Macaca fascicularis: one gene and its partners. The protein of the gene in region 4 binds, or shares a complex with, the protein of the main gene of each other region. Links are inferred from orthologs where the notes say so. Each region holds a gene or a part of one and is shown on either strand. Other genes may lie near its edges.

Region 1 (6,158 bases), on a different chromosome or scaffold from region 4:
AGCAACCCTTATAATCAAATCCTTTCTCTCCAGTGCTCAGAAAATGAAAGTTTTCTGCTGTCTTTAGAACCTTGTCTGCTAACAGCTCTGATATGTTAACATGGCTTTATGGTTTACAGAGGTCACTTCTTGGCTTCTTGGTTTCCAGGCCCCTAACCTTGAAGGAGACGCAGCCCGAGGGCTTGACCATAATGTCAAAGAACACGATGAGATTGACCATGGCCAGCAGTAGAGTACTCCTGGCGGCAGCAGCGTCTGCAAAGCTCACTTTTTTTTTTTTTTAATATGGATTTTCGCTGTTGTTGCCCAGGCTGGAGTGCAATGGCACCATCTCAGCTCACTGCAACCCCCGTCTCCCAGGTTCAAGCGATTCTCCTGCCTCAGCCTCCCCAGTAGCTGGGATTACAGGCGCTCAGCTAATTTTTGTATTTTTAGTAGAGATGGGGTTTCGCCACATTAGCCAGGCTGGTCTTGAACTCCCGACCTCAGATGATCCACCCGCTTCGGCCTCCCAAAGTGTTGGGATTACAGGTGTGAGTCACCAAGACCAGCCAAAGCTCATTTCCTTTTTTTTTTTTTTTTTTTTGAGATGGAGTCTCGCTCTGTCACCCATGCTGGAGTGCAGTGGCACGATCTCAGCTCACTGCAACCTCAAAGCTCACGTCTTATTGACTTCTAGCATACTGTACATATCTTGCCTATTTTCTTGGGAAGGGATTTTTTTCTGTTTTGTTCACTACTGTACCTTGTGGCTTAGAATAGGGCTTGGAACACAGTAGCTTCTCACAGATAATTGTTGAATACATAAAGTAAATAAAATGTGTAGTCAAAACTATGGGGCCTGCAGGCATGGTGGCTCACATCTGTAATCCCAGCACTTTGGGAGGCCGAGGCGTGAGGATCGCTCGAGCCCAGGAGTTCGAGACTAGCATGGGCAACAAAGCTAGACCCTCGTCTCTACAAAAAACAAAACAAAGCAAAAAAACCTAGTCTATCTTTAAGCTACGTGGAATAATATGAACGAGAATATATCAGCGTGACCTCAGTAGGTACGTATGCCTAGGAGGGGAGAGAAGGGCTGGACAACTAAGCCCCAGACACAGCCCGTTAAGGCGTGGAGTAGGCTCCTGGTAGCTGAACTGAATCTTTAGCACTCCACTCTGGAGAGGAAGAAGGGGTTCTCCAGGGTCAGCCAGCAGGCAGCTGCATCCTTTCTGGAAACCAACCAGTGTGGCCAGCCGGTATTTGTCGTTCGTCCTTGTTTTCACCTAGTCAGGCCCAAGAGCCTCAAGGTGGGGTGGGGGGTTAGTGGAAGCTCGTAGGGGGAGGAGGTGACAGTCCCCCGAGTCTGGCCCCTTAATTCAGCCATCCCGCGGGCAGGCACCACACTGAGAGTCTGGATCTACAAAGGACGCGCCTCCTATCCTTCCCCCACCACGACCTGCTACGTGATCTCGGAAACAGGGTCTAGGACTGAGGCCCCTGCCCCCTCCTCTCGTAATTTCCCGGAGAATATGGGGCGGGGCGGTGAATCAGCACTCGCAGGGACTGATGCAGCCCTGATCCCCGCCAGGGGTCCCCAGCGGCCTCGGGATTCGAACCACCCCCCAGTCCTCCTGCGCCTGCGCGCTACCTCCGCTGGGAGTTGTAGTCTTGACCGCCCCTTTGTCCTCGGTCTTCTCAACGCCTCAGCCCACGGCAGGTTACACTACAACTCCCAAGGGCCCATGCGTCGGAGGCCTGGCGGGGCGGGGGGCTGAAGGGAGAGGGATAAGGGGGCGTCTGGAGAAGCTGGGGTGAGGGAACTGAGGAGTGAAGTGAATAAAGAGGAGAGTGGGGGCGCAGTGGGAAAGGACGTGGTGCCCGGAAGACGCGCAGTGAGCCGAGTTGGGGAGCGGGGAGCTCTAGCCGCGGCCGGGCCCGGGCGGGGCCTGGGCGGGGCTTGCGGACGAGCGGGCGGGGCCTGCCTGCGTCATGCGGCGTGGGCGGGGCCGCAGGGGGTTGTCCGTCCGTGGCACGCACAGCAGCCGCAGCCGCCTCGCTCCCGGTCCCGCGGTCGCAGCTCCAGCCGCCTCCTCCGCGCAGCCGCCGCCTCAGCCGCTCGCTCCGTGGGTCGGTCCTCTCCGGCACTTGGGCTCCAATCGCGCCCTCCAAGCCCTTCACGCCACCCCAGTGTCCTCCTCCTTCTCCGGCCAGACCCAGCTCCGCGAAGATGGTGGACCGCGAGCAACTGGTGCAGAAAGCCCGGCTGGCCGAGCAGGCGGAGCGCTACGACGACATGGCCGCGGCCATGAAGAACGTGAGTGTCTCCTCCCCTCCCCCGCCGCTCCCTGCCCCTCCGAAGACGCGGTCCTTGGCGTGGAAGGCCCGGGGCTTCGTCGCCCTGTCGCGATGGTGGGGTGACCGCCCCGTCTCGCTCACTGAGGGGGGCCGGGGAGGGTCCCCAGAGCCGACGGGAACACGGGCTGTGACGCGGCCTCTCCTCGGCGTCCCCGGGGCCCCGCGGCGCGGCCTCTCTGGCCCGGCGCGGGCGCGGGGCGGGGCGGGGTCCCGCGGGGCTGGACTTGGGAGCGGGGTCTCCGGTCCCAGCGGCTCTAGGGGTACAGGGGATCCGAGCGGGGAGGCGTGCGCATCCTTTGTGCCCCACTTCCCCCCTCCTCCCAGCCCGGGCGTGGGGGCGGGGGACCGCATGGATGCGGTTCCTCTTTCTCTCCCTGGTGTCTGGGCGGCGCCTTTCCCATTCACTCAGCAGGTCTCCCGGTTTTCCACCTCCCCAGCCCCCCCAAAATCTTCCCCACTGTCTGTCCCGACAGATCCCTGTGAATCTTCCCAGAAACATTGTATAGGGTCTCTTGAAAACCTGAGCTCCGTGGCGCAAAATCGAAACCACCTTGCTCACGTTTTTCTTAACAAAAGGCTCTTCTTTCTCCATTCCCCCAAAGCAAGTCCTCCGGCTTTTAGGAAGGGGGAACGTTTGTCTCGCTAGCGTTTTCGTTGATCGTTTTCAACATGTCATCTCCATTTTATTCCCTAATGTTTTTGTATTGAAAAGGGTAGGTATTGCCTGTAAAATAAAAGGTGGTGAATGTAGCTGACTGGTTCGATCCGTGTGACATATGCCGTTTCTTTTTTGAATACAGGCACGCGTCTGTGAAATTCCTATAAGTTGGGGGAAAAAATATTCTGTCTGATCTGATAGTGCAAACAAAGCGGTGGTGAGAGGCAGTATCAAGTCATTCCAGAAGATTCTGCATTTGTCATATTGCAGAGAGCCTAGACTGGGTGGAGGCTGGGAGGAGTTATTTTAAAGGGGAAAAAGTCTTTTTAAAAATTTTTGGTCGTTAGATGCATCTGAGGCTTTTTTTTTTTTTTTTTTTTTTTTAAAGCGAGTACGTCTTCATGCTGATGAAAAGAGAATACTGATCTCCAGTTGTCGCATTTTGTCTGGGTTGCAGATTCCTCCCTGTATTGCACCATTTTGTCAGTAACACTACATTTATCTAATGGGCTGTCAACCAGTTTGATATTAGAGGAGGGGGAAGTATTGAACATTATGAAATGAAAGGTAGAAAATTAATGATTTCGGGCCCCCACTATCTTAATATTTAATTTCCTGCCTTATGTAACAAAGGTTTTTCAAATGCATCTCCATTGTGAAGTGGATGCTGGAGTGTACCTTGCATGTTACATCTTTTAAATGAAGCATTATTGATATTACAGATCAATTCTTGAATAACTTTACTGGTTCTCAAAAGAGGACAATGCTGATACCTTTACATTTAAACCAGGTATTTTAACAAAGAAATGTTTTTGTCTTATTAAAGAAGAGAACCGGTTCTGAAATTCGGAATACTGCTATGGCCACAGCTGCTGTCTTACAAGGTTTTAATGCTCAAATGATGTAAGTTGCACTTCTAATGGGTATCAGTATTGGAAATATCTTCAGTTCGTGTTATTTAATTTAGACTCTTCTAATTTTTCCGTATTTCTAGTTCCACAGGAAAGCGAGTGACCTCGCACCTATATCTATAGCAACCAAGTGATGTCACACACAATGACACAGAGGCTGCAATGCACCTAAGGGCTGGTAGGGAGTGTGCAAATGGCATTTATCCAAGGTAATGCAGAAATTAGCCGATAAGCCAGGTGGAATCGAGCACTTCATATTCCACCAGATAAGAATTAGTCCAAAAAATAAGGATTTCATTTACCCTTAAACATGCAGATCCCTGACCTCTAGCTAGGCCTTGTTCACCCTATTGCTAGCTTTCTCACAAAAGTTTATAAGATGCTTTTTTTATATTTTTAAACATTCATCTCACTTATTTAAAATACTGGGCAATAATGGAATAAAAGTAGAAATTTTAAACGATAATATATTTTATGGAATGAAAGTAGAAATTTTAAACAAGAATATAGTTTACGATAATAGTGCAGAGATGAGATGTGTACTTGTGTTTATTTCAGATAATGAATTTGGCAGGTTTTAATAAAAACCTTAAAAAAATGATGACTTTCTACTGAGTCATTTTCAGTTACTGTTAGGGAATGAGAACCAGTTCCAAAACCTTTTAAATCGAGGTTTGGGAAGTTTGTTTTTTACTAGATTTGTGCTTCTGCTCCTTCACAGTATAGAGGAAAGAACAGTTTGTAAAATAAAAACCTTTTTTCAACTCTGTTTCCTGTGACTTTAAGGAAATAGGCTCTGTCCCTCATTTTCCTCATCTATAAAATGGGACAGTACTTGAAAAAGTTGTGCGGATTCAATAAGAAATGTAGTAGGTGTTCCCAAATGGCAACTACCTAAGAAATTGTCTTCCTGTTTATAAAAGTCATCATGGAGAATTTGGAAACTGCAGAGAAAGAACCCAGTCTTACCACTCAAGTGAGCTCTCTTTTAAGGCCGAAATCATCCTGTTGATGGATTAAAATTTATTTGAGTTTAATGAAATTATCCTAGTGCTAACACTATTGGAATCTGTGCAGAATGATAGTTCTGTGTGGGCAACCAGGACAGAAATACTGTATTATCCAGTATTTTGAAAAGAAGGAAAGAGGAATGTTAGGTCTTTTAAGACACTTGTTTAGTCTTGTATTGAAGGAGATTGAATACCTAGATGTATCCTACGTATTAGACAATACTGTCTTGTCCTTTGACTTTTAATAGTCTCTTGAGAAGTTAATATTTTAAGTAGGCTACTGGTACTTGCCTCGGGGGGAGAAAAGGTTCAGGGCTACTAATTTTGTTGAAGTTACTGGGTTAAGCAGTTTAATTCAGTGAGGGGTGGTGGGGGCAAAGGTGGCAAAAGGCTATCGTAATTTTTCTAAATCTTCCTAGTGGGATCAGTAGACTTTCAAATTCTTACTATCTTAAATATTCCATTCCCTAGCCACCCCCCCGCCCAGCTTTTCCAGGAGATCAATAGCCATTATCACTAATGGAGTAATGGTACCTCTGTAGACTCTTCAGAGGTGGAGTTCTGCCAACCATTATTCTGAGTCATGTGGCTTGAATTGTTCTCTTCTTGAGGGAAAGAATACAGATCATACAGCTTGCTATTCATGTGTTAGCCTTCACAGTAACTGAAGCAGATATTACGTATTTTTCCGATTATTTTGGAAATCTCCTATGTGTCTTTTGAATTCTACTGAGATTCAACATGGTGCTAAATGTTCATCCTCATTGCAGTCCTGGATTAACTGCAGACCTTGGGTAGGAGTTCATCTCTTATATTCAGGGAAGCCTTATTTATTAAGCCACTCTCTGAATTATTGAAAAGAGTGAAGAAAACGTTGTGTTTTTATTGAGGTAGAAGTTGCATAACATAACTTTAACATAGTCACATCACATTTCAAATGTGCCGTTGAGTGGCATTGGGTACATTCAGTGTTTTGCAGCCATCACCTATGTTCAAGAAAGGAGAAAGTGGTTACTTTTAAAAAGTGATGCCGCTCTGGCCTACAGCTGGCTGGAATTCAGCACGCCATTACCGATTCAGGAATGTGTCGATAATGGAGTGCCCACAACAGCTCACAGCCAGCGATAATTGTCTATCCCTTTGTCTTCGTTTACAAGCCTCTGAACTGAAAAAAGGGAATTAGCTTTAGTTAAGTTTTGTACCGTATTCCCACTTAAAAAGTTATGGAACTTGAACACC
Region 2 (5,119 bases), on a different chromosome or scaffold from region 4:
GGTATATCGGTGTGATTTTAATTTGCATTCCTCTTCTGATTAGTGATACTGAGCATTTTTCATGTGTTTGTTGGCTGCCTGTATTTCTTCTTTGGAGAAACATTTCTTCATGTTCCTTGTCCAGTTTTGTTTGTTTGTTTCTTTGTTTTGTGGAGACAGAGTCTCACTCTATCCCGCAGACTGGAATACAGGCTCATTGCAACCTCTGCCTCCCACGTTCAAGCGATTCTCATGCCTCAGCTTTCGGAGTAGCTGGGATTACAGGCGCCAGTCAGCACGCCTGGCTAATTTTTGTATTTTTAGTAGAGAAAGGATTTCGCCATGTTGGCCAGGCTGCTCTAGAACTGCTGGCGTGAGCCACCGCATCCGGCTTTGCCCAGTTTTTAATGGGGTTGTTTTTTCTTGTTGTTTTGCAAAGTACTTTAATTGTCTCAATTAGCAAGTAAGAATTTCCCAACTACTAAATCATTCCTATATATTAAATATATTCGGCCGGCTGGGCGCGGCCTGAATATATACATTTGGTCTATTAATGTGGCAAACCTGAAGTTCTCTTTAGTGTTTCAATACTGAATAAAAATAAATTATAAATTATTATTTATCTTATAGCAACACAGTTAAAAGTTATTATTTTCACACTTTTTTTTTTTGTTTTGTTTTAGTAGAGGTGGAGTTTCACCGTGTTAGCCAGGATGGTCTCGATCTCCTGACCTCATGATCCACCCGCCTCAGCCTCCCAAGGTGCTAGGATTACAGGCGTGAGCCGCCGCACCTGGCTCAGTTATTATTATTTTTTGAGACAGGGTCTTACTCTGTCACCCCGCGGGGAGTGCAGAGGCACCATCACTGCTTACTGTAGCCTCAGCCTCTCTGGGATCAGGTGATTGTCCCACCTCAGCCTTCCCAGTAGCTGGGACTACAGGGGTGTGCAACTTCGCCCAGCTAATTTTTGTATTTTTTTTGTAGCGATAGGGTTTTATCATTTTGCCCAGGCCAGAAGGATTGCTTGAGACCAGCTTGGGCAACATAATGAACCCTTGTCAGAAAGAGAAGGGGAAAAGAAAGGAAAGGAAAAGGGAAAGGAGAAAGGAAAGGAAGGATGAGACAAATATAATTGTGTTATTTAGAGAACAGAGGCATCACTGGGCATGGTGTCAGAGGCTTGTAGTCCCTGCTACTGGGGCAGCTGAAGAGGGAGGATCTCTTGAGCCCAGGAGTTGGAGGCTGCAGTGAGCTATAATCACACCACTGCCCTCTAGCCTGGGTGACAGAGATCCTGTCTCCAATTTAAAAAATTAAAAATAAAAAAGAACAGAGATGTCAAAAATTTTCAAGGAATCTCCTCTGGTGTCCAAACCACGAGAACCATCTGTGGTTAGGTGTGTTCATTGCTGCATTAATTAAAAGCGCTTTATAGTCCCACCACTGGGGAGGCTAAAGAGGGAGGATTTTTTTCAGCCCTGGAGTTCAAAGCCAACCTGGGCAACATAGCCAGACCCCATAACTTTTTTTCTATCCCCCCCTTTTTTTTACTATGCAAATCTCACTACACAGACCCTATAGCAAAACAAAACAAAACAAAAAGGCGGGCGCTTATTCTGCTCTGTACTCAGCTGTCTCAGGCAAGTGACAGAATAATCTGAAAACCTGGTGCCAGAGGGAGAAAACGTAGTGGCCAGGGATCAGAAGCGAGTGAGGGACGTATGAAGTATTCATTCTGCAAGTATCAGTTCCTTCCTCTGGGAGAGATACTGGGCTTGTCCACGCCTTCCTGAGTCCATGGTTAAGACTCCCGCTGGGCACCAGCGGATTCCTGGTGCCCAGAGCCCGGTTCCTCCTACCGGGTGCGCTGGGGAAAGGGCTGCTCCTGACAGAAGAGACACTGAGAGCAACGCAGGAACCGGTGCACTTGCGCTGCCTCGGAAAAAGCCGGGGCTCCTGGAGGCGGAGGCGAGGCCTGGGACCCAATGAGAAGGGCGCGGTTGGAGAGGAGGGGCTGGCCAAAAGCACTTTAAATAAGGCCCAGGCGAAACCGCAGTTCTAGTCGCCTAGCTCCAGCTTGGCCTTTGGGTTTGCTGTGGTGGTCTTGTCTCCTGCAGGACCGGGCGCAGCATGGACACTCCCAGGCGGTTTCCGACGCTCGTGCAACTGATGCAGCCAAAAGCAATGCCAGTCGAGGTGCTTGGTCACCTTCCTAAGCGGTTCTCCTGGTTCCACTCTGAGTTCCTGAAGAATCCGAAGGTAGTTCGCCTGGAGGTTTGGCTGGTGGAAAAGATCTTCGGTGAGTGGAGCAAGGAGGGGCAGCCCCTATGCGGCTTCTTTCTGCCGCCCACACCCACATCCCACTGCGTTCCAGGGCAAGCCTCCCCAGTAGCCAATGCCCTCTGGCTGTCTCCTCCTTCCACTTTCCCCTCCCAAGACCCCCGGGAGCCACCCAACCCTCACAGCCTCTCTACTACCCGCGCAGGCAGGGACCGAGAACGCATCCCGCACGTCCAGGGTATGTCCCAAATCTTGATTCATGTGAATCGGTTGGACCCTAACGGCGAGGCTGAGATCTTGGTATTTGGGAGGCCTTCTTACCAGGAGGACACAATCAAGATGATCATGAACTTGGCTGACTATCACCGACAGCTCCAGGCGAAAGGTACGGGGCTGGGAATGGGGCTACCTGGAGCAAACCCTGGCTCCGTAGGAGTGATCCTGGGGTTTCCTGGCTGCTGGGGCTGCAGTCTCGCCCTCCCAGTCTGCCCCCGGTTAGTGGGTGGGAGACGGGGCGGTTGCCATGGATCCAGAAGGCCAAAGTGAACCCGCGTTCTGGGATTCCTGGTTCCTACTCCCGCAGGCCGCTTGGGTGACTGTCCTTTTTTGGAGAGGATATAGGGACACAGCTGTGGCCTCCGCACACTGCTCTTCTTTCAGGCTCAGGAAAGGCCCTCGCCCAGGATGTCGCCACTAAGAAGGCCGAGATCCAGCTGTCTTCAGCAGAAGTCCGGGAGGCCGGGACCCAGCGTTCGGTGGAGGTCCGGGAGGTCGGGACACAGGGTTCTCCGGTGGAGGTGCGGGAGACCGGGACCCAGCAGTCTCTCGAGGCTGCCAACCAGTCCGGGACCCAGCGATCCCCCGAAGCTGCCAGCAAGGCAGTGACCCAGCGGTTTCGCGAGGATACCCGGGCCCCAGTTACCAGATTATGAAGGCATCTCGGGCCCTGGAGCCAGAGCCAGTCAGGGGTTAAAGTGAAAGCCCGTACTTCGCCCAGAAGCTGCGGTTGGGAGGAGGATGATGTGGATTTTTTGTTTTACCCCTTCTGTTGAATGGTTGCAAACACAAACTTGAGTTCTAATAAAAAATTGCAAACTAGAAGCCGCCCCCTACTTCAGCCCCTGAAGCCGGGGTAAGGGTGGATGATGTGGATTGGTTTTTTTTACCCCTTCTGTTGAATGGCTGCAAACACAAACCTGAGTTCTAATAAATAATTGCAAAGTGGAAGCCCCCCGCTACTTTAGACCAGGAAGCCGGGGTGGCGGGGGAGGTTGACGTGGATTGTTTTTGTTTTACACCTTCTGTTGAGTGGTTGTCAACACAAACTTGAGTTCTGATAAACAATTGCATTTCCCTGACGTCTGTATTTTGGAAGGTAGAGGGGAGGGAAAGGCGTATTCCTCCAACAGCCCAGTTCTGCCCTGCGCCGCTCTTTACCTCGAGACAGGTGGGGCTTCTGGCTCCCAGCCGCCCGGGGTCGCAATCTTCCCTGGCTGTGGTCCGCTGTGCCACTTGTACTCCTTAACCGCGCGCATCTGGCTTTAACAGGTGAGAAGCTTCTCTGGCCCACTAGGAAACCTCTCCAAGCCCGCTGTGGTTCTACTCAAGGTGACTTGGGATGAGAAAACCGGGTCGCTTGGGGGCCAGCTGGATTTGGAAGGCCCTGCGTGTATGGCGACGCTGCCACAGAACACTTTCCCCGCTGGGGAAAATTACCTCGGGGAAGGGGGAAACGAAGAGAGCCGAGCTGCACTCTCCGGCTGCACTGTTGCCGTCTTCAGGTCTTGCTTGGGTCACCCACCTTCCAGGAAGGTCTTGGACACCAGCAAGATACAGGCACCGGCTACTCTTTCCTCAGTTACTACGGCAGCGAGGAGCCTGAGCAGAGAACACTTTGGCTTCCCGGGTCACAGCTCTGGTCAGGGCACTGGGATGCAGGTCCCTGAGCCTGCGAATTAATCTAGAAGAATGCAAGCCAACAGCTGGGTGCTAGGATTAAACAATAGCATGCAGTAATTCTGTAATTAGGATTTAATTAGGATTTTTTTTTTTTAACCAAGAATCACTGATAATTTTCATTTTATTTTGGAGATGGAGTCTCGCTCTGTCCCCCAGGCTGGAGTGCAGTGGCCCCATCTCACCTCAACACAACCTCTGCCTCCCGGTTTCAAACAATTCTCCTGCCTCAGCCTCCCCAGTTGCTGGGACTACAGGCCCGCGCCACCACGCCCAGCTAATTTTTGCGTTTTGGGTACAGAAGGGGCTTCACCATGTTGGCCAGACTGGTCTGACCTCAGGTTATCCGCCCGCCGCCTGGGCCTCCCAAAGTGCTGGGATTACAGGTGTGAGCCACCACGCCCCGCCAATCACTAGTAATTTTTAAAAGTTCAAAGCTAACTTTAAATATCAGGGGAATATCTATCACAAACTTTTTGTCACCACTAATTATCACTCGAGTTTAAAATAATCATGTACCTTACAATAAGGGAATTACGACATAAAGCTGAATTTACAAAAACTTATTAGCAACTTTTAACCGGTAATCATTTTATTAAAATAGTTGACTAATTTTAGAAGAACTTTAGAACATTTTAAATTCAAAATCAACACAAAATCAGTTTCAGATGAGGATACATCACAGAACTAAAACTCAATGTGTATGTTGTTTTTCTCTGTGTAATACCCACTTTACCAGAATGTTGGATTCTCTTCTTTACAAGCTGTTTTCTTTTTTTTTTTTTTTTTTAAGACGGAGTCTCGCTCTGCCACCCAGGCTGGAGTGCAGTGGCCGGATCTCAGCTCACTGCAAGCTCCGCCTCCCAGGTTCACGCCATTCTCCTGCCTCAGCCTCCCAAGT
Region 3 (5,425 bases), about 60 Mb from region 4:
AGTTGCTAAAGACCTTGTGATCGGCCGGGCGCAGTGGCTCACGCCTGTAATCCCAGCATTTTGGGAGGCTGAGGCGGGAGGATCACAAGGTTAGGAGTTCGAGACCAGCCCGGCCAACATGGTGAAACCCCAGCTCTACTAAAAATAAAAAAAAAAATTAGTAGGGCATGGTGGTACGTGCCTGTAATCCCAGCTACTTGAGAGGCTGAGGCAAGGGAATTGCTTGAACCAGTGAGGTGGAGGTTACAGTGAGCCAAAATTGCGCCACTGCGCTCCAGCCTGGGCAACAGAGCAAGACTCTATCTCAAACAAAACAAACAAAAACCTTGTGTTACTGAAGCAGGTTCCTTGACACCAGGTTTGGACGGGTTTGGATGGATTAAGCTCTTCAAGGCAGGGATTGTTAATACTGCTTCATACGCTATTCCCAGTAGCTGGCCCATCACAGGCACTCAGGTATTCGTTGCTTTACAAGGAAATACAATTAGAAATTTGCAAGTTAGAATGGGAGAAGGATGGGAAGGATAAGTGAGGTCACAACAAAACGTCACCAGTGTCACATGCATCTCCCGTTTCCCGTCTCCTGCAGGTTTAGGAACGCACAGATTGCCTCTGGTCTGCAGCACCTCTGGAGAACCCTCATTGCCAACCGTAACCTAAGATCCCTCAATTTGGGAGGCACCCACCTGAAGGAAGAGGATGTAAGGATGGCGTGTGAAGCCTTAAAACACCCAAAATGTTTGTTGGAGTCTTTGAGGTGCGTCTCTGGTAGGGCTTTTGCCTTTTGTTTCTTCGTTTTTGCTTTTGTTGGAAATAATTACAGAAAGAGGCAAAAATTAAAGAGCTGAAAAAGTTTTGGTGGTGGATGGGGGTGATGGTTGCAGGAGTTTAATGCCACTGAATTGCACACCTAAATAATTAAAATAGTCCATTTTCGGTTATAAATACTTTATCACAATAAAAAAAACCCTCAAAGTTTCATTTAAAAATTTTTATGCTTGGGAGGCCGAGGCGGGGACAGATCACAAGGTCAAGAGATCAAGATCATCCTGGCTAACACGGTGAAACCTCGTCTCTACTAAAAATACAAAAAAAAAATTAGCCGGGCGTGGTGGCGGGTGCCTGTAGTCCCAGCTAATCAGGAGGCTAAGGCAGGAGAATGGCCTGAACCTAGGAAGCAGAGCTTGCAGTGAGCCGAGAGGGCACCACTGCACTCCAGCCTGGGTGACAGAGCGAGATTCCATCTCAAAAGAAAAAGAAAAAGAAAAAAATTATGCAGAGGCAAGGTCTCGTTCGGTTGCCCAGTCTGGTCTGTTTTTTTGTTTGTTTGTTTGTTTGTTTGTTTTTGAGACGGAGTCTCGCTCTGTTGCCCAGGCTGGAGTGCAGTGGTGCGATCTCGGCTCACTGCAAGCTCTGCCTACCCGGTTCATGCCATTCTCCTGCCTGAGCCTCCCGAGTAGCTGGGACTACAGGTGCCCGCCACCACGACCGGCTCATTTTTTGTATTTTTCTTTTTTTTTTTTTTTTTAGTAGAGACACAGGGTTTCACCATATTAGCCAGGATGGTCTTGATCTCCTGACCTCATGATCCGTGCACCTCAGCCTCCCAAGGTGCTGGGATTACAGGCGTGAGCCACCATGCCCGGCCTTGACAATGCTCTTACAGTGAAATCAGTGTGGTATGTCGTCGCCTGAGACGGGCTTTGCTCCGTCAGTGCTTGAGATCCACCCAAGCAGTCAAGTGTTCGACATTTTCTTCCTTTCTCTTGGCGACAGCCATTCGATGCTATGAAGTACTGCAGTTGAACCATTCCCCTGTCCAGGGACACGTTGGTTGGTTGGTTGGTTCCGGTTTGGGGCTCTCACTGTGGTTTGCAAGTCCTGGGAAGGTGGTTTGTTCATTAGATTAGCTTGGTCTAGAGATACAACTATTTAATGTTTATGTAGTATTCTTTTCCTTTTTTCTTTTCCTTTTTTTTTTTTTTTTTTTTTGAGACTGAATCTAGCTCAGTTGCTCAGGTTGGTGTGCAGTGGTGTGATCTCAGCTCACTGCAACCTCTGCCTCCCGGGTTCAAGTGATTCTCCTGCCTCAGCCTCCCGAGTAGCTGGGATTACAGGCGTGCCACCACCACACTTGGCTAATTTTTGTATTTTTAGTAGAGATGGGGGTTTTACCATGTTGGCCAGGCTGGACTCGAACTTCTGACCTGAAGTGATCCACCTGCTGCACCCTCCCAAATATTCTGAGACAGACAAGTACAAGCCCTGCTTTGAGCTTTGTTAGTTGGCACATCAACTAACATCAAAGAATAATAAGAATTTGCTTTGCACCGTGTGTGTTTGCCTGGTAGCCAAGGAACTGTACTTTAAAAAGATGTAACCCAGGGAAATTGGCCAAAGCATAGACATCGTCTCAGGACGGAAATGCTGTGCCTGACCTCACGTGGGGTTTATCTGGGAACAGATTGGAGGAAGCTACATGCTCACTCTTTTGCTCACTCTGCACCACAAGTGCAGAGAGCTGGAGCTTGGATTCAAAGAATAAATATACACGTTGTCAGAAAAGATGGATCTAGGCTATTTGGGGCCAAGAAAGGAAAAAGCATTGAAGTCACTTAGGTCCAGTTTCCTGGAAGTCTAATGAATTTCCCTTCTCATAACACACAGGGGCAGGGGTATTGTTCTATTCTCTTCACTCCTGTAGCCCCAGAACCTAGAACTGCTCTATTCCCAACACTTGGCCCGTATTCCCCAAAGTATTTATTGTACAGAGGGATGGGATGATGAGCTAAGTCTCTAAACGGTAGACTTTGACATTGAAAGATGGATTGGGCCACATTGTGAAGGGTTTCCATTCACTGTCACGTTGAGGAGTTGGAACTTTCCTTTATTCAATAATGACAGATGCTTGATTCTGTGTGTAGTACTACGACAAGTTCCTGGGATGTGCTGATGAATGAAACGAGATTCCTGCTCTCCTGATGCTCACAGGCCAGCACAGGGAGAACAAAACAAGACAGAAAGAATGATGTGTGCACACATGGCAGGAGCATGTGTAGGCTTGGAGAGCTCTAAAAGTTCTGCCTAAAATTCAACACAGGCCAGGCACAGTGGTTCACGCCTGTAATCCCAGCACCTTGGGAGGCTGAGGCAGGTGGATCACCTGAGGTCGGGTGTTCAAAACCAGACTTGCCAACATGGTGAAACCCCGTCTCTACTAAAAATACAAAAATTAGCCAGGTGTGGTGGAGGACACCTGTAATCCCAGCTACTCGGGAGGTTGAGGCAGGAGACTTGCTTGAACCCGGGAGGCGGAGGTTACAGTGAGCCAAGACTGAGCCACTGCGCTCCAGCCTGGGTGACGAGAGCAAGACCCTGTCTCAAAAAAAAATAATAATAAAAGGCTGGGGTGCGTTGCTATGAATGTTGAAACAAGGGAGGGAGGTGGGGCAGGCACTGTTTAAGGTGTGGCTTACCCGAAAGGCGACCTTCAAGAGACATGAACGAGAACATGAGCCCCATGAAGACCTGAGGGAGGGGGAAGGAGGGGAGGTTGCAATGGAAGGAATAGCAAATTTTCAGGCCCAGAGGCAGGAGCAGACAGAGTCCGAGGACCAGGAAAATGGCCAGTGCCACTGGCGTGTGCTGAGTAGAGGGGAAATGGGCTGCTTTGGGCGAGAGCTGCGATTGCTTCATGCTGCCTGTCTCTGCAGGCTGGATCGCTGTGGATTGACCCACACCTGTTACCTGAAGATCTCCCAAATCCTTACGGCCTCTCCCAGCCTGAAGTCTCTGAGCCTGGCAGGAAATGAGGTGACAGACCAGGGAGTGACGCCTCTCAGTGATGCCTTGAGGGTCTCCCAGTGCGCCCTGCAGAAGCTGACGTGAGTGCCACTTCCTTTCCACCGGGATTATGGTAACTTCGATTCTCCAGTCATGGTGGGAGGGGAATGAGCAGATGCACAAACAGGGTGAGGAAGGAAGTTGGGACCTCCCGAGACTGCCCCCAGAGTCAGGGCGTAAGAGTGACCTGATAAACATCTGTTCTTGCCGCCAAACTCTAAAGGGGAGATACAAGGTGGAAGCGGGAATCAGTCAGATGGAAATTGAATAATGATCTTCCCTCCTGATAAAGCTCTCTTGGGCGTGAGGCTTATGTGTGCAGCTTACACTGTGGGTTAGTGAGTGCTTGTCCCCATGACTGGAGAGAGATGCCCGCCCACTCAGTCACTCAACGTGGGTGGGGGTCAGGCTCCCCTCTGCCTGGTAAAGTCCAGGCCAGAGCTCATGCATTCTGGGCTTCTGGGCACAGAGAGGCTCAAAAAGGAGGGTCCCAAAATCCCAATCCCACCTCCTCCTCTGGAGACAAGGGAGCCCAGAGCAGGGATGAGCCCAGGCCTGTGGTGTTCTAGCAGAAATGCCTCCAAGTGGAAATGCGAGGGGCGGCAGTTCCGCACCCTGACGCCTAAAGGGATATCACCTTTTTCCTTTTCCGTGTCAGAGTTTTGCTGTTGCCCAGGCTGAGTGCAGTGGTAAGATCCTAGCTCACTGCAGCCTCGACCTCTTGGGCCCAAGCGATCCTCCTGCCTTGTCCTCCCGAAGTTCTAGGACTACAGGTGTGAGTAGTGCCTGGCCCAAAGGACATGACTTGCTTACTGATAACTGATCTAGGGAGGGGGAGGAGAAGCAGCAGCAGAGTTACAGCACCCACTATTCAGTGCTCACTGAGCTGTGCCAAGCACTGCGCTAAAATCCCTCCAACCCTTCCTCGCTGAGTTCTCAGAACAGGTCTACGGAACAGGTGCTGTTGATAACCCAGTTGACAGATGACACAGCTTCGGAAAGGCTGTGTCACTTGTCCCACAGTTGGATGGTGCTTGGATGGTGATGCCGGGAGTCAAGGGTGGGTCTGATTCAGCTGAGCCGCCCAGTGTGGCAGCCAGTATCCACATGTGGCCAGCCAAATCTAAGTTAAATGGGGACGTCAGTTTCCTCATCACACTAGACCCATGTCAAGAACTCAGTACCCATGTGGGGCTAGCAGCTCCCATTCGGGACAGCACAGCTCTAGGTGACCTTTAATCTTAGCTGGATGGCAGTGCTGGTGTCACCAATGAGACATCCAGGCTTAGAGGGTGACGGCGTGAGGCCCCATCACACCCTGAGCTCTCAGTCTTGGGTGTCATATTCTCAACGGGAAGGGGCTTTCACTCCATGTAGCAGACTGTGTCTGGAATCACTTCAGTGCTACATAAAAAGCTGCTTAAATGGCCAGGTGTGGTGGCTCACGCCTGTAATCCCAGTGCTTTGGGAGGCTGAGGCGGGCGGATCACCTGAGGTCAGCAGTTCAAGACCAGCCTGGCCAATGTGGTGAAACCCCATCTCTACTAAAAATACAAAAAAATTAGTTGGGCGTGGTGGAGGG
Region 4 (6,130 bases):
TGGGACTCCTGACCTCAAGTGATCCTCCCGCCTCAGCCTCTAAAAGTGCTGGGATTACAGGCGTGAGCCACCACGCCTGGCCTGATGTGATTTTTTTTTTTTTTTTTTTCTGAGATAGACTCTTGCTCTGTCACCCTGGCTGGAGTGCAGTGGCACGATCTCAACTCACTGCAACCTCTGTCTCCCAGATTCAAGTGATTCTTCTGCCTCAGCCTCCTGAGTAGCTGGGACTACAGGTGCCTACCACCATACCCGGCTAATTTTTGTATTTTAGTAGATATAGGGTTTCACCATGTTGGCCAAGCTGGTCTCGAACTCTGGACCTCAGGTGATCCACCCACCTCTGCCTCCCAAAGTGATGGGATTACAGGCATGCACCACTGCGCCCGGCCCAATGTGGTGATTTCTAAGTAGGGATCTGAGGGAGTAAGGAGCCAGCCAGTGGCTGTCTGAGGGAGACTGTCCCTGGCAGAGCGAACCGCTAATGCCAGTACCAGGTTCTGGGCCAAACAGAAAGAATCTTGGGCTCTCACTACATATATATATTTTATATATATAATATATATACTTTATATATATTATATATACTTTATATTATATATGCTTTATATATGTATAACATATATATTTATATATTATATATACTTTATATATGTATAACATATACTTTATATATAATATATACTTTATATATGTATTGTATATGTAATATGTATGTTGGGGTTTTTTTTTTGAGATGGGGTCTTGCTCTGTTGCTCAGACTGGAGTGTGGGCTTACGCAATCCTCCTGCCTCAGCCTCCGCAGTAGCTGAGACTACAGGTGCATGACCACCACACTTGGCTAATTTTAAAATTTTTTTGTAGAGATGGGGTGTCACTGTAGTGCCCAGAGTGGTCTCCAACTCCTGGCCTCAAGCAATCCTCCCACCTCAGCCTTCGAAAGTGCTGGGATCACAGGTGTGAGCCATGGTGCTTTGCCTTCATATTTTGAATAGGCCGAAACAGAACTCCAGAATCCCCTTACCCCTATCCCCACCACCCCACATAGCAGGTTTCTCTCGCTCTGTAGCAACCCACTTACCTCTCTGAAATCATCCCAGGCGTGTTCGGAGTGCACGCAGCCCCGTTAGCCTCCCGGTCTTCTCCTGTAACCAGCCCAGCTCTGCCTGAGAGCTTCCACTATTCCCTCCATCTGGAATACCCACCACTCTCTCCCACCCCGGGCTTGGATCTGGCAATACGGTACCAGCCTCAGGGCCTCTGCTGTCCGGCTTTCTGCTCTCAGAGCCTTTGTCACTGGGCTGGGAGCTCCAATATGATAAATGCATAGCCCGGGGCTAAGACCATCAAGGGAACCCAGTAAGTTGGCTCCCGAAAGAGAACTAGAAGCTTCGTTTGCATTGCACGTTATTTAATATTGAGGAAAATATAATTAGCCCGTATCTAAGCATTGGGGTGAGAGCGCTAAAGATTGACCCCACCCACCTCCCACTCCTCACTTCCAGCCGTAAGCCACTTCCGGACAAGGCTAAAAATGAGTAAAACAATGCAACTACTCGCCACCTATCCTTCCCCAAGTTCCACCCTCCGAGCCTCAAGCCCCACGCCCTCCTAAATATCCCCGCCCCCGCTGGGACCCCAAATTGCCTAGAGCTCTGCAATTCCGCCCTTCCCGGCAGCGGGACCGAAAGGGTTAAGCGGAGGCTCCCGGCTCGCTGAGTGACAGCTTGGCCGGCAGCCGGGGAGAGCCGGCCAATCAGGGAGGGCGTACGCGACCCACGTGCGCAAACGGCCTCACGATTGGCCAGCGCCGCCAGATGCCTGCCCACCCCGAGCCCGAACCCACGTGCAGCTACTGCGCCTTCATTGATCCGCTTCGCGGTCCAGGTGGCGGCTGGGTGGGGCCTGGGCGGGACGGGGCAGGGACAGGGCGGGACAAGGCGGGGCCCGATGGGTCAAATGGCCCCCGGTGGGGGAAGGAGGAGTTTCCTCTTGGCCTGAACTTGGCTGACCTCGGCAGCTTCCGCCCTGTGAGGGACGTGAGTTGCCAGGCGTTTTCCTGGGGGTTGGGGGGACTCCAAGATTCCCGGGCCGGGGAAGGGGCTGCAGGGGTGTGGAAGGGCAGGACTGAGGCAAGGAAGGAGCTTGGTGCTGCAGCTGGGATGCAGGTGGAGGGAAGTCGTTTCTTCTGTCCGATGAATTCCGCCTAATGCACCTGGCTAACTCCTATTCATCCTTCAAAACCCCTTTCTAGTGATCTCCCTGCACTTTAGGAAATTGTCTCAAAACTAAGGTTGAGCTTTGGTGACCTTCCCTGGGCTCCCCCAGCAGGGAGTGTATGTGCACCATCCACCCCAACCTCCTAGGGTGAGGCCTGGGAGGCAGGGTTCAGTTCTTTCTGGGTCCCCGGCCCCACGAATCTGGGCAGCTGGAGGCATTGATAAGTGAGGACGGGACCTAGGGAACGCATGGGGGAACCGCAGGACTGGGGCCCTGGAGACTTACCAAACCGGGAGGTGCAGGTGGGGTAAGGGGTGGCTCCCTCCCTGACACTGCCTTATTTTCTGTCCTTCAAGACCTGCTGTCTCCTTGTTTTAGACTTTGGCTAAAGTCCTGGAGGCTACTGCCTGAAGATGACCTCTAGGGACCAGCCTAGCCCCAAAAGCCCCCCGAAAGGCACTTCGGTGAGGAGGGCATGGGGTGGGATCAGCCCTCAAGGGAAACCCAGCTCAGCCCAATGAGGTTCTGCCCCTTTCTCATCCTGTATCCACCTGTGACCTGGGCTGGCCTCGTCCAGGCCTCACAGCTGAAGACAATACCGGTCACTGCTACATTCAAGACAGGTGCCAAGGAGCCTTTTTTTTTTTTAAAAAAATTAAGTGTAGGCTGGACACAGTGGCTCACAACTGTGATCTCAACATTTTGGGAGGCCGAGGTAGGAGGATCATTTGAGCCCAGGAGTTTGAGACCAGCCTGGACAACGTAATGAGACCCCCGTCTCTACAAAAACAATTAAAAGAATCAGCTGGGCCTAGTGACATGGGCCTGCCTGTAGTTGTAGCTACCCAGGAGGCTGAGGCAGAGGCTTCGCTTGAGCCCAAGGAGTTTGAGGCATTGCACTTCAGCCTTGGTGACAAAGTGAGATCCCATCTTTAAAAAAAATGTAGCTTCTAATCACATACGTGATAAAAAACACAGGAACACAGCACGTATTTGGTTAATATTTTACAAGCAATCCGGGCTCCCTGTACTTTATGTCCCAGAGATGACCATTTGTAAATTTAGGCTCTCAGGGCTGAGCAAACTCTCTTTTTTGTAAAGGGGTCAGATGAGGAATATTTTGTTTTGAGACTTTATGACTTTATTGTTTTTGAGACGGAGTCTCACACTGTCACCTCGGCTGGAGTGCAATGGCGCAATCTCGGCTCACCGCAACCTCCGCCTCCCGGGTTCAAGTGATTCTCCTGCCTCACCTCCCGAGTCGCTGGGACTACAGGCACCTGCCACCATGACCACCAGTTTTTTTTTTGTATTTTTAGTAGAGATGGGGTTTCGCCATGTTGGCCAGTCTGGTCTTGAGCTCCTGACCTCGTGATCTGCCCACCTCAGCCTCCCAAAGTGCTGGGATTACAGGCGTGAGCCACTGCACCTGGCCAAGAGACTTTATTTTATTGAGTCTTGCTCTTGTCGCCCAGGCTGGAGTGCAGTGGCACGATCTTGGCTCACTGCAACCTCCACCTCCCAGGTTCAAATGATTCTCCTGCCTCAACCTCCCCAGTAGCTGGGATTACAGGTGTGTGCCACCATGCCCGGCTAATTTTTGTATTTTTAGTAGAGACAGGGTTTTGCTGAGTTGCCTCGACTTGTCTCAAACTCCTGACCTCAGGTGATCTGCTCACCTCGGCCTCCCAAAGTGCTGGGATTACAGGCGTGAACCACCTTGCCTGGCCTTTTATTTTTAAAAATATTTTGTGCTTCTATTTTCATCACAAGAATGTGGTGAATATTTTAGACTTTAGGCCAAAGTGCAAAATGGAAGATGCTCTTTCAGGTACTGAAATAAGAGGACGGGCGCAGTGGTTCATGCCTGTAATTCTAGCACTTTGGGAGGCCGAGGCGGGTGGATCACGAGGTCAGGAGGTTGAGATCAGCCTGGCCAAGATGGTGAAACCCCATCTCTACTAAAAATACAAAAATTAGCCAGGCATGGTGGGAGGCGTCTGTAATCCCAGCTACTAGGAAGGCTGAGGCAGGAGAATCACTTGAACCTGGGAGGCAGATGTTGCAGTGAGCTGAGATTGTGCCCCTGCACTCTAGCCTAGGTGACAGCAAGACTTGGTTTCAAAAACAAAAACAAAAACCACAATTACTTTTGCATCAACCTAATACCTATACTCTGGTTGAGATGGAGACCTGGGGTCTTGAGTGTTTGGGGCATTGTAAGTTTTTTTTTTTGTTTTTTTGTTTTGAGATAGTCTCGCTCTGTCACCCAGGCTGGAGTGCAGTGGCACAATCTGGGCTCACTGCAAGCTCCGCCTCCCGGTTTCACGCCATTCTCCTGCCTCAGCCTCCCGAGAAGCTGGGACTACAGGCGCCCGCCACCGCGCCCGGCTAGTTTTTTGTATTTTTTTTTTTTTTAAGTAGAGACAGGGTTTCACCGTGTTAGCCAGGATGGTCTCGATCTCCTGACCTCGTGATCCGCCCGTCTCAGCCTCCCAAAGTGCTGGGATTACAGGCGTGAGCCACCCGCGCCCGGCCAGGGCATTGTAAGTTTTATGTAACCTTGCTTTGACCTTTCCAGCCCCATCCTGGGATCTCGAACTCTGAGAGCTCTCCACCACTGAATTATCAAGGCATTCTAAATCGGCTCAAGCAATTCCCCAGGTGAGAGCAATTCCAGGGGCTGGCGGTCCCACGCTGGGAAGGGGTCCCACCTGGCCTCTCTCCTTGGGGTCCTAGTGAGTGGTCTAGAAACTGCTGGCCCAAGAGACAGGCTCAGGAACAGGAAGCCATGCGGATACCCAGCGTGGAGAACCCAGCAATATCCATCCCAGCTTTCGTTTCATATGTTGATTTTCCTGTGCAACATGGATTTGTTGGCATTCAATTTTATTGTTGAAAAATACTGCAATGGCTGGGTGTGGTGGCTCGCACCTGCAATCCCAGTACTTTGGGAGGCAGAGGCGGGCGGATCCCTTGAGGTCAGGAGCTCGAGATCAACCTGGCCAACATGGTAAAAGCCTGTCTCTACAAAAAATACAAAAATTAGCCAGGCGTGGTGGCGGGTGCCTGTAATCCCAGCTGAGGCAGGAGAATCTCTTGAACCCAGGAGGCGGAGGATTGCAGTGAGCCGTGTTCACACCGCTGCACTCTAGCCTAGGCTACAGAGTGAGACTCCGTCTCAAAAAAAAAAAATATGTATATATATATATATACTGCATGGGCTGGGTGCAATGGTTTGTACCTGTAATCCCAGCACTTTGGGAGGCAGAGGCAGGAGGATCGCTTGAGCCCGGAGTTTAATACCAGCCTTGGCAACATAGTGAGGCACCATATCTTAAAAAATAAAAATCTGAGTGTGGTGGTGCATACCTGTAGTCCCAGCTACTCAGGAGACTGAGGCAGGAGGATCATCTGAGCCCAGGAGTTGGAGGCTGCAGTGAGCCATGACTGTACCACTGCACCCTCGCCCGAGCAACAGGGTGAGATTCTGTTTCAAAAAAAGAAATTGAAGAAAGTGGCAGGGTGGGGCGCGGTGGCTCATGCCTGTAATCCCAGCACTTTGGGAGTCCAAGGTGGGCGATCACCTGGGGTCAGGAGTTTGAGACCAGCCTGGCCACCATGGTGAAACACTTTCACCATTAAAAATAAAAAATTAGCTGGGCGTGGTGGTGGGTGCCTGTAATCCCAGCTACTTGGGAGGCTGAGGTGGGAGAATCTCTTGAACCCGGGAGGCAGAGGTTGCAGTGAGCCGAGACCGTGCCACTACACTCTAGCCTGGGTGACGAGAGACTGTCTCAAAAAAAAAAAAGGAAAAGAATATACTGCATTAAAATCTTTATTGAACTTCTTGACACTGCCTTAAATTTGGCTTCGGGAGCCAATGCCTTCCAGCTTCGTTGAGACCCTC
Region 5 (4,998 bases), on a different chromosome or scaffold from region 4:
GCAATGGTGTGATCTCGGCTCACCGCAACCTCCGCCTCCTGGGTTCAAGCGATTCTCCTGCCCCAGCCTCCCGAGTAGCTAGGATTATAGGCATGCGCCACTATGCCCGGTTAATTTTTTGTATTTTTAGTAGAGACTAGGTTTCTCCATGTTGGTCAGGCTGGTCTCGAACTCCTGACCTCAGGTGATCCACCCGCCTCAGTCTCCCAAAGTGCTGGGATTACAGGCGTGAGCCACTGTGTCTGGCCCACACCCATCTAATTTTTGTATTTTTAGTAGAGATGGGTTTTCTCCATGTTGGTCAGGCTGGTCTCAAACTCCTGACCTCAAGTGATCCTCCTGCCTTGGCCTCCCAAAGTGCTGGGATTATAGGCGTGAGTCACCTTGCCTGGCCAGGTTAAGGTTTTAAATGTTCATTGCATCACAGCCATAGCTAAATCTAGTTTTCCTGTAAGTATGCCCTACACATCTGATAGTAAGGTTTTCTCAGCAACCATTGAGGGTGAGAGGGGGTGGGCTCAGGGGCAGAAAACTGGAGCCTCCACACAGTCCTAGATGATCATGTGGAATCTGGAACATGCTTTCCACTATTTTGAGTTTTTTCCTCTAGGCTGGCTGTGGTGGCTCACACCTGTAATCCCAGCACTTTGGGAGGCCAAAGTGAGAGAGGACTGCTTGAGCCTAGGAGTTCAAAACCAGCCTGGCAACATAGTGGGACCCTGTCTCTACAAACAGACAGACAACAACAACAGAAGAGCTGGAAAATAGCTGGGTGTGGTGGCAGGCACCTGTGGTCTCAGCTACTCAGGAGGCTGAGACAGGAGGGTCACTTAGGCCTGGGAGGTCGAGGCTTCAGTGAACCGAGATCATGCCACTGCATTCCAGCCCAGGCAACAGACTGAGACCTATCTCAGAAAAATAGAAAATAGTTTTAAAACAAACACATAGTTAATCGTAAGAACAAAATAGTATTTTCAGCAGATACTATCTATTCTGAAACAACTACAAAACAATATTTCTAGAAATATAGTAGAAAATGTGTAAAGACATGCATGGGGATGATATATACACACTAGCTTCAAGATAATTTCCTCTGGAGAGGAAAAGGAAAGATGCTTGAGTAATATCTATTTTAAAAACAGAGAAGTGAGGCAAATGTGGGGAAATGTCAATATCTGTTAAACTGGGGGAGGGTACAGGGCTGTGCTATATTACTTTTTTGGATGTGTGAAACCTTTCTTTTTTTTTTTAATTAAAAAAAATTTTTAATTAAAATTACGAACACTGGGAAAAAATTCATTGATACTGGTTGTCTTAGGATACTGGAAATAAAGGAAAATTGTCTAACTTGCTACATGTTCTATAAGACCACCTCCGACGTTTTGTTTAAAACATGATACACTTGCTTGAATGATTTAAAAATGGTAACCATCCGGAGAGTCAGAAGATAACAGCATGGGGCAGAAGAGAGAAAACCGACACATTCAACAAGCCTGCCCTGGGTCCAATCTACCTATCTCTGGGAGGTAACGATGAAACCTTAACCTATCCAGCAAAGGCGATTCCCAGTCAGCAGAGTCGTCAATTCAAACTCACAGTGTTAATCAGCTATAAGGTGGGCAGAAGTCTTTCAGGCTAAGTATATCTTACGAGGCAAAGATGACGAAGGAGAGCGTTGGAGACCCAACAGGAGGCCAGATGCATACTAGTTCAAAGTCAAAGAGGCAATCCCGGCGACTGAGGCAGCACAGGAAGTGCCCGATGTGCCGCTAGGCCAGGGCGTCGATTGCACCAGCTCACCCCGACGCGGTGCTAGGCGCCGCCGGAAGGGGCGGAGCGGGTGGAATATGGTAAAAGAGAGTCCGAGCTTCGCGCCTGGGTCTGGAGGAGGTCCCGCGAAAGCCACCTCGAGCGCGCTCCGCGGCTGCTGGTCCCAGTATGGTCGATGACGCTGGTGCTGCTGAGTCCCAGCGGGGCAAACAGACCCCGGCCGACTCCCTGGAGCAGCTGCGTATGTTACCACTTCCGCCGCCGCAGATTCGCATCCGGCCTTGGTGGTTTCCGGTGCAGGAACTGGGAGACCCTTTGGTGTTCTACCTGGAGGCATGGCTGGCAGACGAGCTCTTTGGTGAGCGACCCCAGGTGTGCTAGTGGGCTGTCCACCTCCAGTCTGAGAGAAACTCGGCAGAGCAGCTCTCTACAGCTTCTTTCCCAGATTCGCAAGCCAAAAGTGTTGCAGTGATTGCCCACCTTCCAGCTCTTCCCTTCCCTGGCCAACGTTCCCTTAAAATTCAGCTTGTAACTTGCCACCGTGCGGCCCCTCAGAGTCTTTCCTTACTTGTTTAGGCCCGGACCGAGCCATGATTCCAGAAATGGAATGGACGAGCCAGGCCCTGATGACAGTGGACATAGTGGACTCTGGGAACCTAGTCGAAATCACCGTTTTTGGACGGCCCAGTGTACAGAATCGGGTGAAGAGCATGCTCCTGTGCCTGGCATCGTTTCACCGAGAACATCGTGCCCGAGGTGAGGGTCTTTGAGAACCTGCATGTGGAGGAAGCCACGAGTGACTGTACTGGCCTTGCTCGGTTTCCTTCCATCCTCCCTTAACCTTCTCAGAATTTCTTGGTTTCCAGACCCCAGGGGCTGCACGAAGTTTGTTGGGAGGGGATCCCGGGGTAGGACCTTGGGAAAGTCAGCGGAGATCTGATACATTCAGGCCCATCACTGCCCAAGTCAGCCTCAGCTGGGTTACGACGCTATCGCAGATCCCAGGTTCGGAGCCTCCACCGCAGGTCTTTCTCTCCTCCCCAACTCCCAATCACTGAGTAGTTCGAAACAGCGAACCGTTTTCCCTGTCCATGGTTAGCATCAACTGCTTCTCTTCCAGCTGAGAAGATGAAACACCTTGAGAAGAACTTGAAGGCCCATGCATCAGACCCCCACTCTCCCCAGGATCCTGTTGCTTAAGACAACATAGTTACTGTCGGGAACATCTTAAGAACTTTCCAACTTTTTCTGCTAAAGTTGAAGAGAAGCAAGTATAGCATTCCTAAATCCCTGCATTCCTTTTTCCTGTGTCTTGATGGAATGTGGTTTATTTTGTTGCAAGAGTGAGCTTGAACTATTCTAATAAAGAAATGGCTATTTTGCCAATGGCATTAAGATCTTCACACACTTATAATAAAGCAAATTTATAAAAGATTGACTCTTATGTTTTGATATGAAGGGTGGGCAGAAGGCTGGCAGGTTGTAGTTTTGTAGGTTTTTGTTTTTGTTTTTTTGTTTTTGTTTTGTTTTTTTCTTCCTGAATTCCCATCATTTTGAAACTCCTAATCCTTCTATGATTTTATGGTCAGAATGAGGCCCTCACCCACAGGGGGCAGATATGCAGGGGCAGATAACCTCCCAAATGGTGATCTGTTTTGTTTTTACATAATTGGCTCTCAAACTTTAAAGCTTGTAAAAAATCACCTTGGGAGCTTGTTAAAACACAATTTCCTAGGCTCATTCTCCAGAGAATTCTGATTCAGTACTGTTGGGGTGGGGCTTGTAATTTGCATTTCTGATGAGCTCACAGGTACTACCAAAGCAGCTTATCTGAGGCTCTCACTTTGCAGCTGGTAATTGACCCTCCAAAGAGCACCAGCTGTGCGTTTTCCTGGAGTGGGCTGTCCGTCTGGCACAGGATGACATTCCAACAAGCAGGCCTGGGCGGTCAGCATTCATTAATGGTAGCTTTGTGATTCACCACGGAAGAAAAGGGATCCCTGGCACCTTGGCTTGTGGATGGCGCCCTGCCTTGGAGCCGGCTGTCTCCCTTTTTCTGCAAGGCGAGGCTGCACAGGTGTCCAGCATGGGCAAGATTGTTTTTCCATTACGTGTTGTACTGAGATTACCAATCTCTGCAAAACAGCTCCTATCCTTGCTGCCCCACTTTCTGGAAGTAGAATTTTTGGGGTGAAAGGTGTCAAAAGCCCTGTGGCTTCAAGCGCAATTAGGATTGGTTTGAGACTCATGGAATTTATGCATTCCTTGGCAATAAAGTGTTCTAGCCTTTTGCAAGCGTTTTAAACTCAAGTCTCTTTAATTGTACATTTTTGATTAGAGGTGATGTTGAATGTTTTCTTTGTTTCAGTTTTACATTTTTCTGTATTAATTCCTTTCTTGACTTCTTTCAACTGGTGAAGATAAGGATTTTTATTTATCTCTATAAGCTTTTGTAACAATGGTCTGTTATTACCAGCATTTTCCACCCTCTTACATTTTTTTTTTGCATGTGAAAGATTTTTATTTTATGTAGTTAAATCAATTACTGTTTCCTGTGTGTTCTCCCATATCCCCACCCTCTTAAGTTTAAGAGCTCCTAATTTTCTCCCATAGAAATTTGATTCTTTCAAGTTTTTCCTGGTGTGATTTTTAATGTATGTTTGTTTATTTATTTATTTATTTAGAGATGGAGTCTTGCTCTGTCATCCAGGCTGGAGTGCAGTGGTGTGATCTCAGCTCACTACAACCTCTGCCTCCCTGATTTAAGCAATTCTTCTGGCTCAGCCTCCCAAGTAGCTGGGATTACTGGCATGTGCCACCACACCTAGCTAATTTTCGTATTTTTAGTAGAGACGGGGTTTCACCATGTTGGCAAGGGTAGTCTCAAACTCCTGACCTCAGGTGATTCTCCCACCTTGGCATCCGAAAGTGCTGGGATTAGAGGCATGAGCCACTGCACCTGGCCCTGGTGGGGTTTTTATTTTTATTTATTTATTTTTATTTTATTTTATTTTACTTTTTGAGATGGAGTCTCACATTGTCGCCCAGGCTGGAGTGCAGTGGCACAATCTCGGCTCACTGCAACCTCCATCTCCCAGGTTCAAGCAATTCTCCTGCCTCAGCCTCCAGTGTGGCAACCTCTCCTGTTCCTCCACGCCAAGCAGCTGGCTTGGCTTGATGACATCTATAATTCCAGCATGATATAGAGTTTCCATTTATTGGGTGTTT

The links.
Region 1: the proteins of TLE6 (region 4) and YWHAG are in contact, whole or in part, in a cryo-EM structure (PDB 8XI3), measured with the Mus musculus proteins. The link is inferred for Macaca fascicularis from reciprocal best matches to the Homo sapiens genes TLE6 and YWHAG. Residues at the interface, in NP_444484.1 of Mus musculus: Phe137, Leu138, Ser139, Glu140, Ser141, Asp142, Leu144, Gln145, Leu295, Arg347, Asn430, Leu447, Gln470, Met472, Asn489, Asp510, Asn511, Thr512, Met530, Pro553, Arg555; in NP_061359.2 of Mus musculus: Lys50, Arg57, Arg61, Lys125, Asp129, Arg132, Tyr133, Gly174, Leu177, Asn178, Val181, Glu185, Phe201, Asp202, Ile205, Ala206, Leu208, Asp209, Glu213, Tyr216, Lys217, Thr220, Leu221, Ile222, Met223, Gln224, Leu225, Arg227, Asp228, Asn229.
Region 2: TLE6 (region 4) and KHDC3L share a complex: the UniProt entries of both Homo sapiens proteins name them as parts of the subcortical maternal complex. The link is inferred for Macaca fascicularis from reciprocal best matches to the Homo sapiens genes TLE6 and KHDC3L.
Region 3: the proteins of TLE6 (region 4) and NLRP5 are in contact, whole or in part, in a cryo-EM structure (PDB 8H94), measured with the Mus musculus proteins. The link is inferred for Macaca fascicularis from reciprocal best matches to the Homo sapiens genes TLE6 and NLRP5. Residues at the interface, in NP_444484.1 of Mus musculus: Pro147, Gln148, Pro149, Val150, Cys158, Gln159, Phe161, Leu162, Ile163, Gly165, Leu166, Trp167, Leu169, Phe170, Ser173, Arg174, Gln175, Lys176, Asn177, Ala247, Asp248, Lys249, Phe250, Lys252, Pro253, Ser255, Trp256, Leu261, Glu262, Cys265; in NP_035990.1 of Mus musculus: Gln185, Phe188, His283, Arg307, Glu326, Lys327, Lys329, Ser330, Ser334, Pro335, Leu336, Met444, Ala447, Glu448, Trp451, Tyr465, Tyr507, Tyr508, Glu511, Glu515, Asn517, Phe520, Phe522, Leu540, Met543, Lys544, Leu547, Val571, Lys574, Leu575.
Region 5: the proteins of TLE6 (region 4) and OOEP are in contact, whole or in part, in a cryo-EM structure (PDB 8H94), measured with the Mus musculus proteins. The link is inferred for Macaca fascicularis from reciprocal best matches to the Homo sapiens genes TLE6 and OOEP. Residues at the interface, in NP_444484.1 of Mus musculus: Trp256, Ser258, Phe304, Thr305, Arg306, His307, Val318, Asn320, Val322, Asn323, Glu332, Ser333, Asn354, Ser355, Arg356, Leu373, Ala374, Ala375, Pro376, Ser377, Leu378; in NP_080756.1 of Mus musculus: Arg32, Pro33, Trp34, Trp35, Pro37, Gln39, Glu40, Glu67, Trp70, Met71, Gln73, Gln94, Pro95.

Annotation. Positions count from the first base shown.
Region 1 is NC_088377.1:51,375,545-51,381,702, forward strand, and holds the start of YWHAG (14-3-3 protein gamma), read left to right. Parts: upstream 1-2,029; 5' UTR 2,030-2,212; coding exon 2,213-2,299; intron 2,300-2,539; exon of another isoform or gene 2,540-4,118; intron 4,119-6,158. UniProt on the Homo sapiens protein: Adapter protein implicated in the regulation of a large spectrum of both general and specialized signaling pathways. Binds to a large number of partners, usually by recognition of a phosphoserine or phosphothreonine motif.
Region 2 is NC_088378.1:101,685,908-101,691,026, reverse strand, and holds KHDC3L (KH domain-containing protein 3), read left to right. Parts: upstream 1-2,040; 5' UTR 2,041-2,112; coding exon 2,113-2,281; intron 2,282-2,467; coding exon 2,468-2,647; intron 2,648-2,922; coding exon 2,923-3,194; 3' UTR 3,195-3,360; downstream 3,361-5,119. UniProt on the Homo sapiens protein: Component of the subcortical maternal complex (SCMC), a multiprotein complex that plays a key role in early embryonic development.
Region 3 is NC_088393.1:63,996,725-64,002,149, forward strand, and holds part of NLRP5 (NACHT, LRR and PYD domains-containing protein 5), read left to right. Parts: intron 1-589; coding exon 590-757; intron 758-3,713; coding exon 3,714-3,884; intron 3,885-5,425. UniProt on the Homo sapiens protein: Component of the subcortical maternal complex (SCMC), a multiprotein complex that plays a key role in early embryonic development.
Region 4 is NC_088393.1:3,674,900-3,681,029, forward strand, and holds the start of TLE6 (transducin-like enhancer protein 6), read left to right. Parts: upstream 1-1,984; 5' UTR 1,985-2,039; intron 2,040-2,576; 5' UTR 2,577-2,633; coding exon 2,634-2,684; intron 2,685-4,801; coding exon 4,802-4,884; intron 4,885-6,130. UniProt on the Homo sapiens protein: Component of the subcortical maternal complex (SCMC), a multiprotein complex that plays a key role in early embryonic development.
Region 5 is NC_088378.1:101,680,217-101,685,214, forward strand, and holds OOEP (oocyte-expressed protein homolog), read left to right. Parts: upstream 1-1,878; 5' UTR 1,879-1,938; coding exon 1,939-2,128; exon of another isoform or gene 2,129-2,142; intron 2,143-2,346; coding exon 2,347-2,526; intron 2,527-2,890; coding exon 2,891-2,970; 3' UTR 2,971-3,204; downstream 3,205-4,998. UniProt on the Homo sapiens protein: Component of the subcortical maternal complex (SCMC), a multiprotein complex that plays a key role in early embryonic development.